Arabidopsis thaliana: one gene and its partner. The protein of the gene in region 2 purifies or fractionates together with the protein of the main gene of each other region. This does not show direct contact. Each region holds a gene or a part of one and is shown on either strand. Other genes may lie near its edges.

Evidence for each region.
Region 1: the proteins of AT5G17380 (region 2) and AT2G35040 fractionate together in Arabidopsis thaliana (co-fractionation; one large-scale study listed by BioGRID). This does not show direct contact.

What each region holds. Positions count from the first base shown.
Region 1 is NC_003071.7:14,764,404-14,770,262, forward strand, and holds AT2G35040 (AICARFT/IMPCHase bienzyme family protein), read right to left. Parts: upstream 3,916-5,859; 5' UTR 3,867-3,915; coding exon 3,759-3,866; intron 3,685-3,758; exon of another isoform or gene 3,666-3,684; coding exon 3,566-3,665; intron 3,469-3,565; coding exon 3,393-3,468; intron 3,290-3,392; coding exon 3,193-3,289; intron 3,037-3,192; coding exon 2,934-3,036; intron 2,827-2,933; coding exon 2,693-2,826; intron 2,597-2,692; coding exon 2,419-2,596; intron 2,334-2,418; coding exon 2,176-2,333; intron 2,046-2,175; coding exon 1,836-2,045; intron 1,766-1,835; coding exon 1,418-1,765; intron 1,329-1,417; coding exon 1,202-1,328; intron 1,096-1,201; coding exon 944-1,095; 3' UTR 742-943; downstream 1-741. Other genes in the region: URED (urease accessory protein D), read right to left, coding at 90-134, 233-307, 393-458, 544-642; AT2G35050 (kinase superfamily with octicosapeptide/Phox/Bem1p domain-containing protein), read left to right, coding at 5,305-5,859.
Region 2 is NC_003076.8:5,724,175-5,729,021, forward strand, and holds AT5G17380 (Thiamine pyrophosphate dependent pyruvate decarboxylase family protein), read right to left. Parts: upstream 2,739-4,847; 5' UTR 2,547-2,738; coding exon 1,143-2,546; intron 1,061-1,142; coding exon 746-1,060; 3' UTR 585-745; downstream 1-584. Other genes in the region: AT5G17370 (Transducin/WD40 repeat-like superfamily protein), read right to left, coding at 1-114, 255-379, 479-545; AT5G17390 (Adenine nucleotide alpha hydrolases-like superfamily protein), read left to right, coding at 3,466-3,940, 4,027-4,112, 4,218-4,514; ER-ANT1 (endoplasmic reticulum-adenine nucleotide transporter 1), read right to left, coding at 4,841-4,847. UniProt on the Arabidopsis thaliana protein: Catalyzes a carbon-carbon cleavage reaction; cleaves a 2-hydroxy-3-methylacyl-CoA into formyl-CoA and a 2-methyl-branched fatty aldehyde.

The DNA of each region.
Region 1 (5,859 bases), on a different chromosome or scaffold from region 2:
AAGAAAATGGTCCTATTCTATTGCAATAGCACTCTGTTCTACTAAGAAAGCTCAAAATGATTTTAGTAGAAATGTGAAAGAAACATTACTTCCAATATCTGTTCAGAACACTTTGATCCTATTGCCTTGTACACCTGTGTGAAATCACAAGATCCATCAACAGAAAGTCAACCACGTAGGATGAAATTAGTGTCCATTGCAAAGAGAGAGAAAAGCCCTAAATTGATTCAACCTTAGTAGAAGACTGCGTTGTAATAACTGCAGTGCATCCATCACCAATTGTGAATTCACATGAAATCGAATCGCCCTACATAATTTGAACAAGAACTAGATTGATTCAAGCGCATCGATGGCAAATTCATTAATAAAGAGACAGAGAAATAGGGAAATACAGAGACAATGCCGCCACCATAAGTGATACTGTAAATCCAGACAACGTCAGTTCCAGCAGGAGCTGCCTGAAAGTTCAGTGTCGCCGGAACTTTAATAACTAAAGATTGAAAATTCGAAACTGTGAACTCTACGTAGAGAGAGAGAGGAGACCTTGCTAGGAAGTAAGAACTTGAGAGGATACTTCGAGAAGCAGCTCGTAGCTGTAGATCTTCCTCCCACTTTCTCCACCACCACTTTCCCTGTCGCCATCTCTGATCTCTCTCCACACTGTCGTCGACTTTCTCACTCCAGTTTGAGTAGAAATGTTGAATATTTTATATGCAAATCTCATCAGTTTCTGGATGTAGAGAAAGATATGATTTTGGGTGAAAAATGTCAAATTTATAAGTAGGAACAGCTCTCAGGTTCTAATCATACATAAACTCGAACGCAATCCAAATTAATGTTACAACAGTTTTATTTCCCACTCTTTGTGTTTTGTTTGGTGGGTTTTCTTCTTCAGAAACTCTCTTGGATGTGTTTATAAGAGCAAAACTGGAGGGATGTGTCCTTAATGGCGGAAATGTCTAACGTTGGTGAAGAGCAGAGAGACTCCATACTTTTTGCAGCAATCAATAGCGTCTTGGTCTCTAATACTGCCTCCAGGTTCTGCTATCACTCCTATTCCCATCTGGCACGCCTCTTCCACCGCATCTTTCCAAGCTGCAATTCACACAACAACAAATTTCCAATTCAGAACGGCTAACATTTGTTGATTGATGAGTCATTTCAGACAGAAGAATGGTTTCGGAGAGAAAAATATATATACCGAATGGGAAGAATGCGTCACTGGCCAAGGCAGCTCCTTTAGCTTCCTCCCCAGCTTTCTTGAAAGCTATTCTCAGACTCTCTACTCGGTTTGGCTGTCCGCTTCCCATCCCCAGCATACAATTGTTCTATGAGCCAACCCAAGAATCAGAATAAACTACTAGCAAACAAGTACAGAAAGAGAAACAAGAAAAGGAATCAGAGAGGAAAATCCAACCTTTGCTATCACAATGGCATTGCTCTTGACATGCTTAACGCAGAGCCAGGCAAATTTTGCATCCGCAAGTTCGCTTTCAGTCGGAGTTTTGTCTGAGACAGAATTGAAGCTGATGTCTTCTGGAGTTAAATCGTCCGAGTCCTGAGCCAACCAGCCGCCACCAACCTGTCTGAGCGATAGTTTCCCTTGGTCATTCTTTTTAGCTTCGAGGATCCTCAAAGTTTTTGATTTCCCTTTGAGGACTTCAAGACCTTTAGCAGTATACTTTGGAGCAACCACGATTTCATAAAACATTCTAGTTTCCCCGTCTGTTGGGCTCCTGAACTCTCGGATCTCCCTCGCAAGAACCTAGAGACAGTTACAGATCACTAAACAATTGAATAATGTATGGGACAACAGTAGTTTGACTTTTGATTACCTCGTCAACTTCAACATTGAAAGCTACAATGCCACCAAAGGCACTAACTGGGTCAGCTTTTACAGCTAGCCGGTAAGCCTCAAGAATATCATCACGAGAGGCCACACCACAAGGATTTGTATGCTTCACGACTACACATGTTGGGTTTTCAAATTCCGACACACAGTTCCATGCAGCGTCAGCATCAAGATAGTTGTTGTATGACATTTCCTGCTCACAGAAATAAATAGAAAAGTTAAACATAATAAGGCTTGAAAGCGAGGATAAGGATATAAATGGCAGTTTAAAACTATTTGCTCTGTAAATTACACCGGACAGAAAAAGTAGCATACTTTCTTACCTTTCCATGATGCTGAATCGCTGTTGCGATACCACCGGCATTCACTTCAGCAAGGCTCTTATCAACATAAAATGCAGCTTTTTGATGAGGATTTTCACCGTAACGAAGAGAACTCTTAAGTACAAGCGGAACTGTAAAGCTGGGAGGGAACTTCTCTTCTGAGAAAGACATGAATATCAATCAATGTAAGTTGCCAATTGCCATAACTAGTGTAAGGAGGATCACATAAAAACAATCACATACTTCCTTCAGTCTGCTTCCATAGCCATTCTGAAACCGCAGAATCATATGCAGCAACATGCTGAAAGGCCTTCCACGCAAGTTTTCTGCGGAATTGTTGGTCGCTCTGTCCTCCTTTGAGATACTCCAAAACAGCTTGATAATCTCCTGAATCGACAACAATGAGAACGTCTTTGTGGTTCTGTTGAAAAAACAATAGAAAATATACATTTATAATCTTGAAAATAATCTTGCAAGTGTAAAGAAAAAGTCTCATATGCACAGATATATGTATTACCTTAGCAGCTGCTCTAATCATAGCAGGGCCACCAATGTCAATGTTCTCAATCCCATCCTCAAAACTGATCCCACCTGGAGCAGTAACTTTTTCATAGAACGGGTACAAATTGACAACCACAACATCAAATGTACCTGTCATAGAATTAAAAAAAAAAAAGGTACAGTTAAACATAAGGAGACACTATAAATGACTTAGTCTCAAGCTTAATGTAGAGGATCAATCAAAGGTCAAAACTCACCAATCCCATGCTCATTAAGAGCTTCCATATGATGCTCCACATCCCTTCTAGCGAGGATACCACCATGTATGTTTGGATGCAAAGTTTTCACACGGCCATCAAGCTTTAAGAGAAGAAAAAAAAAAAGGAGAGCTAAGTTTAATATACTAAACTCAACAAAACAATGGTATAAACCAAAACTTAAATATAAATATCAGCGAGATCACAAGACCAAAACTTTTAGCAAGAGCAGCGAGCATAAGAGAAAAGAAAAACATGCCATTTCTGGAAAATGAGTAAGCTTCTCCACTTTGGTCACAGAGACTCCAGCATTCTCCAAAGTAGAGGCAGTTCCTCCAGTAGAAACAATAGTGTATCTACACAAATATCAATGAAAAAAGGAATCATTTACATATAAGATAGAAACAAAACCAAAATTTGTATAGTTCTAAGTAAGAGAGAGTTGTGAAGAACACATACCCCAATTCTTGCAGACCGTTGCCAAGAGAAGCCAAGTCCCTCTTGTCAGATAGAGATATCAAAGCTTGCTTCTCCCCTGATTCAATTAAAGCCCGATTATTTGAAAATCACTAAAACGTAACTGAAAATCGATCACTGAATTTGAAATTGCAGCAAAAAGAAAAATTGTAAACCAGAGGAGCCTGAGGATTGCGGCTGATTCCTCTGAGCAGTCTGAGACTCTGCCATGGCTCGAACAGCAACGAAACTTGGACACAGCGACGTACGATAGACCTGCTCATTGAAAATTCCACTAATATTAAAAAGTTTAGCAGAACATGAAACAAAGACACAAAGGAACACGTCCACACACAGAGGAGAACTCACAGGCTGAGTAAAACGAAAAGGCGCGACGGATTTTTTGCGAAACAAGCCGCAGAGAATATCGCCGGAGCGAGCACTCACGGAGGTGGCGGTGGCGGCTGAGCTGAGCATAGTAGTCTGATTTTGAAACAGTGTGTAGTGTTGAGCTCTGTTAGGTTTTGTGATTTTGCGGCTAATTTTGGAAATAAATTAGAAAAAAAAATAAAAAAAAAAGGAAAATATGTAATTTATTATTGGCGTCAGGTGGAATTATGTATTTATTATTATGGCCTTGACAGTTAGATTACACCTGGAATATTTGGAAAATTGGAATAAAGCTTCTCTTTTTATTTCCCCCAAAAATAAAACTAAACTATTTTAACTCCAAATTTTAAAAAATTTAGTAGAAACCAAAATTCTCAAGTGTAAACTAATTAGTAAGAAATAAAACTTTATTGGATCAGAGTGGTAATATTACAAAAGACTAACTATGGAGATGACGAAAGCTTCTTATGTTTTATATGATATTTTATTTGCTTTTCAGAATTTTAAATAATGTAAGTAGATAACAATTATTTTATTGGTAGGCATAATAGTTTTTTTCTCGAGAATATAGTTTTGTTTTTCGAATTGTCAAAATTAGAAGAGAGATTTTAAGGAAGGACTTGGCTTCTTCTCCTACTCATCGATCGTCAAACCGAGGACGCTTCACAGTCTCTGGTGCCGCCTTTCCTGGTATAAACCTTTTTCTCTACTTCTCTCCTTCTTTGCTTACTCGTCTTCCTTTTAGGTGTATGCTGTTTTTGAATTTTGATCATTATTATCGAAAATCTCTGGATCCGATGTGTTTCCACCTGAATTTCGGGTAATGATACTCAGATCTTGCATTTTCTAGAGTTTCAGTGGTTTTGATGGCTTGATCGGCTTTTGTTTTTTGGTTGGGTAGAGGTTTTTAGCTCAGTTTTTGGTTCGAAATGACGCTTATTTGTTTCCTTTTTGAGGTTTGGAATTGTTTCACGGACTTGATTGAATTTTGGATTTAGTTCTATGTTTTGATCTGTTGATTTACACTCTCTCAAAGTTACGATGGGTTTGCTAATAGTTTGGTGAAGTTGATCGATTTTAGTTTCAGCGATTCCTGTTAGTTTAAACTTGAAGAGACTAGAAAGTAGTCATTTTAGCTAGTTTCATGTTGGAAAGTATGCACAGTCAGATATTTGTACTGGATGATCTGTCCCTGCTAGAGTAAAGAGTTTTATTGGTTTGTATACCGAAAATGTTCCTTAAATAGTATGGTTTTCTGAGTTTTAGCCGTATGCTATTTTGGTTTTTTTGTTCTTGAATATGTTTGACTACTTGAGTAAAGTTACTCTTCTCCTATTTCAGGCACCTCAATGAGAGTTTGAGTTGTTCATGATAGAAGTCGTCCTGTTCTGCAGCCAAAACGTTAGAAATTTGCGAAGGATGCTTATGCAAAGATTTTACTTGGGTCATGATCATGATATGTCGCCTACAAGCGTTTGTGAGGGAGCTTATGAACTAGATAGATAGACACCTTGAGAAAGAAAACATGGATCAAGCAAAAGGTTATGAACATGTTCGGTATACTGCCCCTGACCCTAGAGATGAGGGACTTGGCTCCATTAATCAAAGGTTTTCCCACGACTCTTCAACTAATGTTAACACTTATGTACGACCTCCAGATTATGGTGTTTCAACCCCTGCTCGGCCAGTGCTAAACTACTCAATACAGACCGGTGAAGAATTTGCTTTTGAGTTTATGAGAGATAGGGTTATTATGAAACCGCAGTTCATCCCAAATGTGTATGGTGAGCACAGTGGTATGCCTGTTTCTGTTAACTTAAGTGCTCTGGGAATGGTTCATCCAATGTCAGAGAGTGGCCCTAACGCTACAGTGCTTAACATAGAAGAAAAACGTCAGAGCTTTGAGCACGAGAGGAAACCCCCTTCTAGAATTGAAGATAAGACCTATCATGAACTGGTCCAGTCAGCCCCAGTTATCTCTTCGAAAAATGATACTGGTCAAAGGCGTCATAGTTTGGTTTCTTCTAGAGCTTCTGATAGCTCTTTGAACCGTGCGAAGTTCTTGTGTAGTTTTGGTGGT
Region 2 (4,847 bases):
CTCGTCCCTGAAGTTAGACATCTTCTTGTTGACAGAAATAACATTGCCATTTAACTCTCGGGAATAAACTAGCTTCAATGCTTTTAGTTTAGTCCTCTTCTGATAATTAGTTTCCTGATGCAATTTCCATATAACTAATCACTGATTTACATAAACAAGTTCAAGCTAGAGAAGATTGGAGAATTCTCATTGATTCTGCAAGACTCGACCTTTACTACATAAACTTGAAAAAGTTGAATTTGTAGTAAACTGACCTGTTCAGGCTTTGGCTCGGGTTTTTGTTTCGTTCTTGAAGAAGAAGAAGACTTTGCACCAGGGATAGGACCTTTAATGGGAAAATATCTGTTCTTCTCCTCGTCGTAATAAAACCCAGGAAGTTCTGAAAAAAAAAAAAATCAAAGATAAACCAAATTCCCACATCAAAATCTCGGATACGCAATCGAAAATAGAAGAATCCGTCGAGGAAGAAGATTCAGACCTGGTTTCATGTTGTGTCGGACTTGGAGTCGACTCTGTTCTCTGTGTTCTTTCTCATCAGACACCATTAAAGGCTAACATGCGCCATATAAATAGCTTTAGGTTTTAAGAATTGAACCGGAAACGTGTTTTTATTCAATTATGGTTTAAAATGGACCGGTTTATGATCCGGTTTACAATAGTGAAAAACAGAAAACTAAAACGTATATCCTTTTTGTTCACAACAAACAACTTCAACATTATTTAAAGGGACTCTCCACAAAGCTTTTTAGTTCTTGTGCTGTAATCTCCCACTCTCAGCACCAGCAAAAGGATCAATAATAACATTTACCACCGCGGGTTTTCTTGCGGCGAACGACTCAGCGAGAGCGGATTTAAGCTCATCGGGTGTTTCCACAATATAACCTTTGCCTCCAAAGGCTTCAATGAGCTTGTGGTAGCCTGCATTAGGAACAAATGATGTTGGTGCTGGATCTTCTTTATGAGGACCGGAGATTTCTTCAGGTCCCCTTCGATCACCGCCGTAGACACCACCATTGTTGAAGACTATAATCACCACAGCAAGATTGTATCGAACCAATGTCTGCAATCATCATTAAAGACAAAAGTTCAGACAAAAGACAATTTCCACATTATGCTAATAAGTATGTAAATCTTTTTACTACCTCGACTTCCATGGCGCTGAAGCCAAAACCAGAGTCTCCTTCAACAGCGACAACAAGCCGATCAGGAGAAGCAACAGCAGCAGCAATACAATAACCTAAACCAACACCCATAGTTCCCCAAGTTCCTGCATCAAGCCTTGTCCTTGGCTCTTTCTGAACCAAAACAGATCTTCCTACATCCATTGTATTAGCTCCTTCCGATACCACAACAGGACTCGGTCCTTCCACAGCCAAAATAGCGTCTCTGATTATCCTCATAGGAGTCAAGAAATTGAAAGGAACCACATCTTTAGCAAGCTGTATCTCCATCTTCTCACCATTCTCTTTCGCCTTCTTCGAAATCGATTCCACCCATGAATTAGACTTCCCTAAACAAAAAGGATCGTCTTTGATCTCTCTATTCAACAATCCAATCACAGTTTTAGCATCTCCAACAATCCCCAAATGAGGTTTCCTTAGCTCAATCTCTTCCTCAGAGACATCCACCAATATAAATTTTACATCTTTATCCCATTTAGGCGACTCTCCGAAATGAAGAAGCCAGTTAAGCCTAGCTCCAACCACCAACGCGACATCACATTTCCCAATAGCAAGAGACCTCGCCGCAGTCGCCGAGAACTCGTGTGTGTCCGGTAACAAACCTTTACCCATCGGAGTTGGTAAAAAGGGTATTCCAGTAATTTCAACAAGCTTCTTCAGCTCATCTTCTGCTCTCGAATACGCAGCTCCTTTACCAAACACAATCAACGGCCTCTCAGCTTTCCTCAGCAACGAAACCGCCGATTCAATCTCCGATCTCAGAGATCCACGAATCGGTTCTTCCTTCCGTGATCTCTCAACCTCATCCACCAATTTATCAGCTTCCGATTCCGATATCTTCTGACGCAACACATCAGTCGGAATATCCAGATAACACCCACCGGGTCGACCCGAAACAGCTCGATCCAAAACCCTAGAAACACAATCAGGGATTTCACGAACATCTTTCGCTTTCTCTGATAATTTCGAGAAAGCTTTAACCGCTTCGATCTGATCAAGCTCCTGGAAATCTCCACGACCAACATCTCTCTGATCACAAGAACCAGAGATCATCACCATCGGCCATGTATTAACCCAAGCGTTGGAAAGACCCGCGAGCCCATGAACACAACCCGGACCCGAAACCGTTAAAAGGATACCCGGTTTACCCGTGAGGTAACCGTAAGCTGAAGCGGCGTAACCAGCGGATTGTTCGTTGTGGAAGGCGATGAAACGTATACCTAAAGCCATAGCTCGGCTAGCTAGAGACGTGACGGGGATTCCAACGACGCCGAACATGTGGGTTACGCCGAGATGAGAGAGTGACTTGGCCACGAGAACGTTGCCATCAATTGACGGTGGAGTGGTTTCTGATTTATCCGCCATGTTCTCTTGGATTTGCTCAAAGTTTCAGTTTCTTCTACTTGCTTTAGTTTCTTTATATAGCCTTTTGTATTTGTGTTTTACTCTTACTGTGATTACGTGTTTTGCATTAATGCTACTATTAGCCTATTATTGACTTCTTTATTTGCATTTTGTGTGTTCTCTGAAAATTTTATCTACAAACTTGTACACGTAATTATGTGTGTTTTGCTAATTTAAAAGTTATCTACGTAGCAAATAGTAAAATTCTCAACAAATTGATTATACGACCAAACTATACATGAATTTCTTTATTTTTGGCAACTTACATTATTCAATAACAAAGTAGTATGACAGATAACTTAATTTACAAAGGTATTGTGATTTAGTGATTCAATAAAATATATCTTTGGTTTTGGTCACTAGCGACTCCTACTTACCTAATCTTCTCAATAATTTGGATTTGGATGTGATAAAATGATAAATTTATGAGTTCATGGTTTGGAACAAGTGACCTTGTATAACCCTTGAGGGCTGCCACTAGAATTGTTTTGTAGTTAGCAAAGAAAACAAATCAAATTTGGATTTGTTCTTTTACACAAAGTGGATGATTTTGACCACGACAAAACTAGAGCACCACTCAAAGATTTCTCATGATTTTGCGAGTCTACAAAATAAATTTTTTTTTCTCCAACGGTAGTGAATTCCACAATCGATTGAGCTAACAATTTATCAAATAAACTTGGACTCGTTTAATTTAATGAAGAAAACAGAAGAGCTTGACAAAAAGAAAAAAACAACAACGTGTGGAACCATTAACAATCAAACATCTTTAATGGCACGCACGTCCTCTCTCAAAAAATTTCCTCACGTATACATACGCTCAAAACATTCAAGAACCAATGCTAAGGTTCCCATTTGAGTTCTTTTTGTAAACAAAAACATGGCGAGATCGCTCAAGAAATCAGCCAAGTTGAGTCTAAGAAGAGTCCGGATCAATTCACCTTCGATTAGGTTCAAACCGGACTCGAGTTCCATAGAGAGAGACCAAAGAATCGAGTTTCTAGGCGAAAATGGTGATGATGCCGGATCCGGAGAAGAAGACACCAAAGAAGCAAACAATGAAAGTGAAGAGGTTGAAGATAAGGAAGAAGAAAGAGTCAAAGTAATTGTAGAGGAGGAAGAAGAAAAAGAACAAGATGATGCCAAGAGCTTTAACATTGGAGGCGGAGAAGGAAAAAAAGAGGCGGTGGCAGCGGTTGAGGCGGTTGAGGAGGAGGCGGAAGGCGGGAATAGAGTAATGGTGGTGGTTGATAAAGCGCTTGCTTCTACCGGAGCTTTAGAATGGGCTATTACGCATACTTTACAACCACAAGACACTCTTTTTCTGTTATACTTTGCAAAACCGTTTAGAAAAAGTTCTTCTCTTTCTCTCCTCTTTGTCAATTTTCTTGTTTAAGGTTTGTTTGGTTTGGCTAATGAGGTTTTTCGGATTGAGTTTTAGGTAAAAGGAAGAACCGAAAACGCGAGGTGAAAACCGATGAATTGGTCCATACTTTAAAGAAACTGTGCCAAACGAAACGACCCGGGGTGAGTCACACTTGGTATTCGATTGTTTATACATATAATGAAAGCTACACTATTACTGTTCTGATCAAATTCTGGCGACGTGTGGATTTCTTTTATGAATGTCAGATAGAAGTGGAGATAAGGAGGTTAGAGGGGAAAGACAAAGACAAAGGGCAGAAGATAGTTGAAGAATCAAAGAAACAACAAGTGAGCCTTTTAGTGGTTGGACAAGAGAAGAAACCTCCGGTCTGGAGGCTATTGAAGAGATGGGCGTGGAAGAGACGCCGTGGACACGAAGGTGTTCTCAAATACTGCCTCGAAAACGCCTCTTGCATGACAATCGCGGTTAAACCCAAGAACCGCAAGCTCGGCGGTTACTTAATCACCACCAAACGCCACAAAAACTTCTGGCTTCTCGCTTGACAACAACGCAAGTTTTCCTCTTTTGTGTTTGTATCATTCATAAGGCTTTAAAATTTTTTCACCTATTTCATCTTTTATACATGAAACAAACTTGCTCCAGTACACAAAAATCAAATAGGCCTTTCTTGGATTATTGATATAACAATGTTACTGCACAAGAACTATGAACAATTTTCCCTATCTTCTGCTGGTTCAATCGGTTAATGATTCCGAGATTCTGTTAATTAACACAATACATTGGAAAGCAAGTGAGACTTCTTGGTGTTTACTAACCTTCTCTTTTTGAGCTCAGCTTTCATTGTCATCGTTTCGGGTTTGGTCCAAAACTACTGA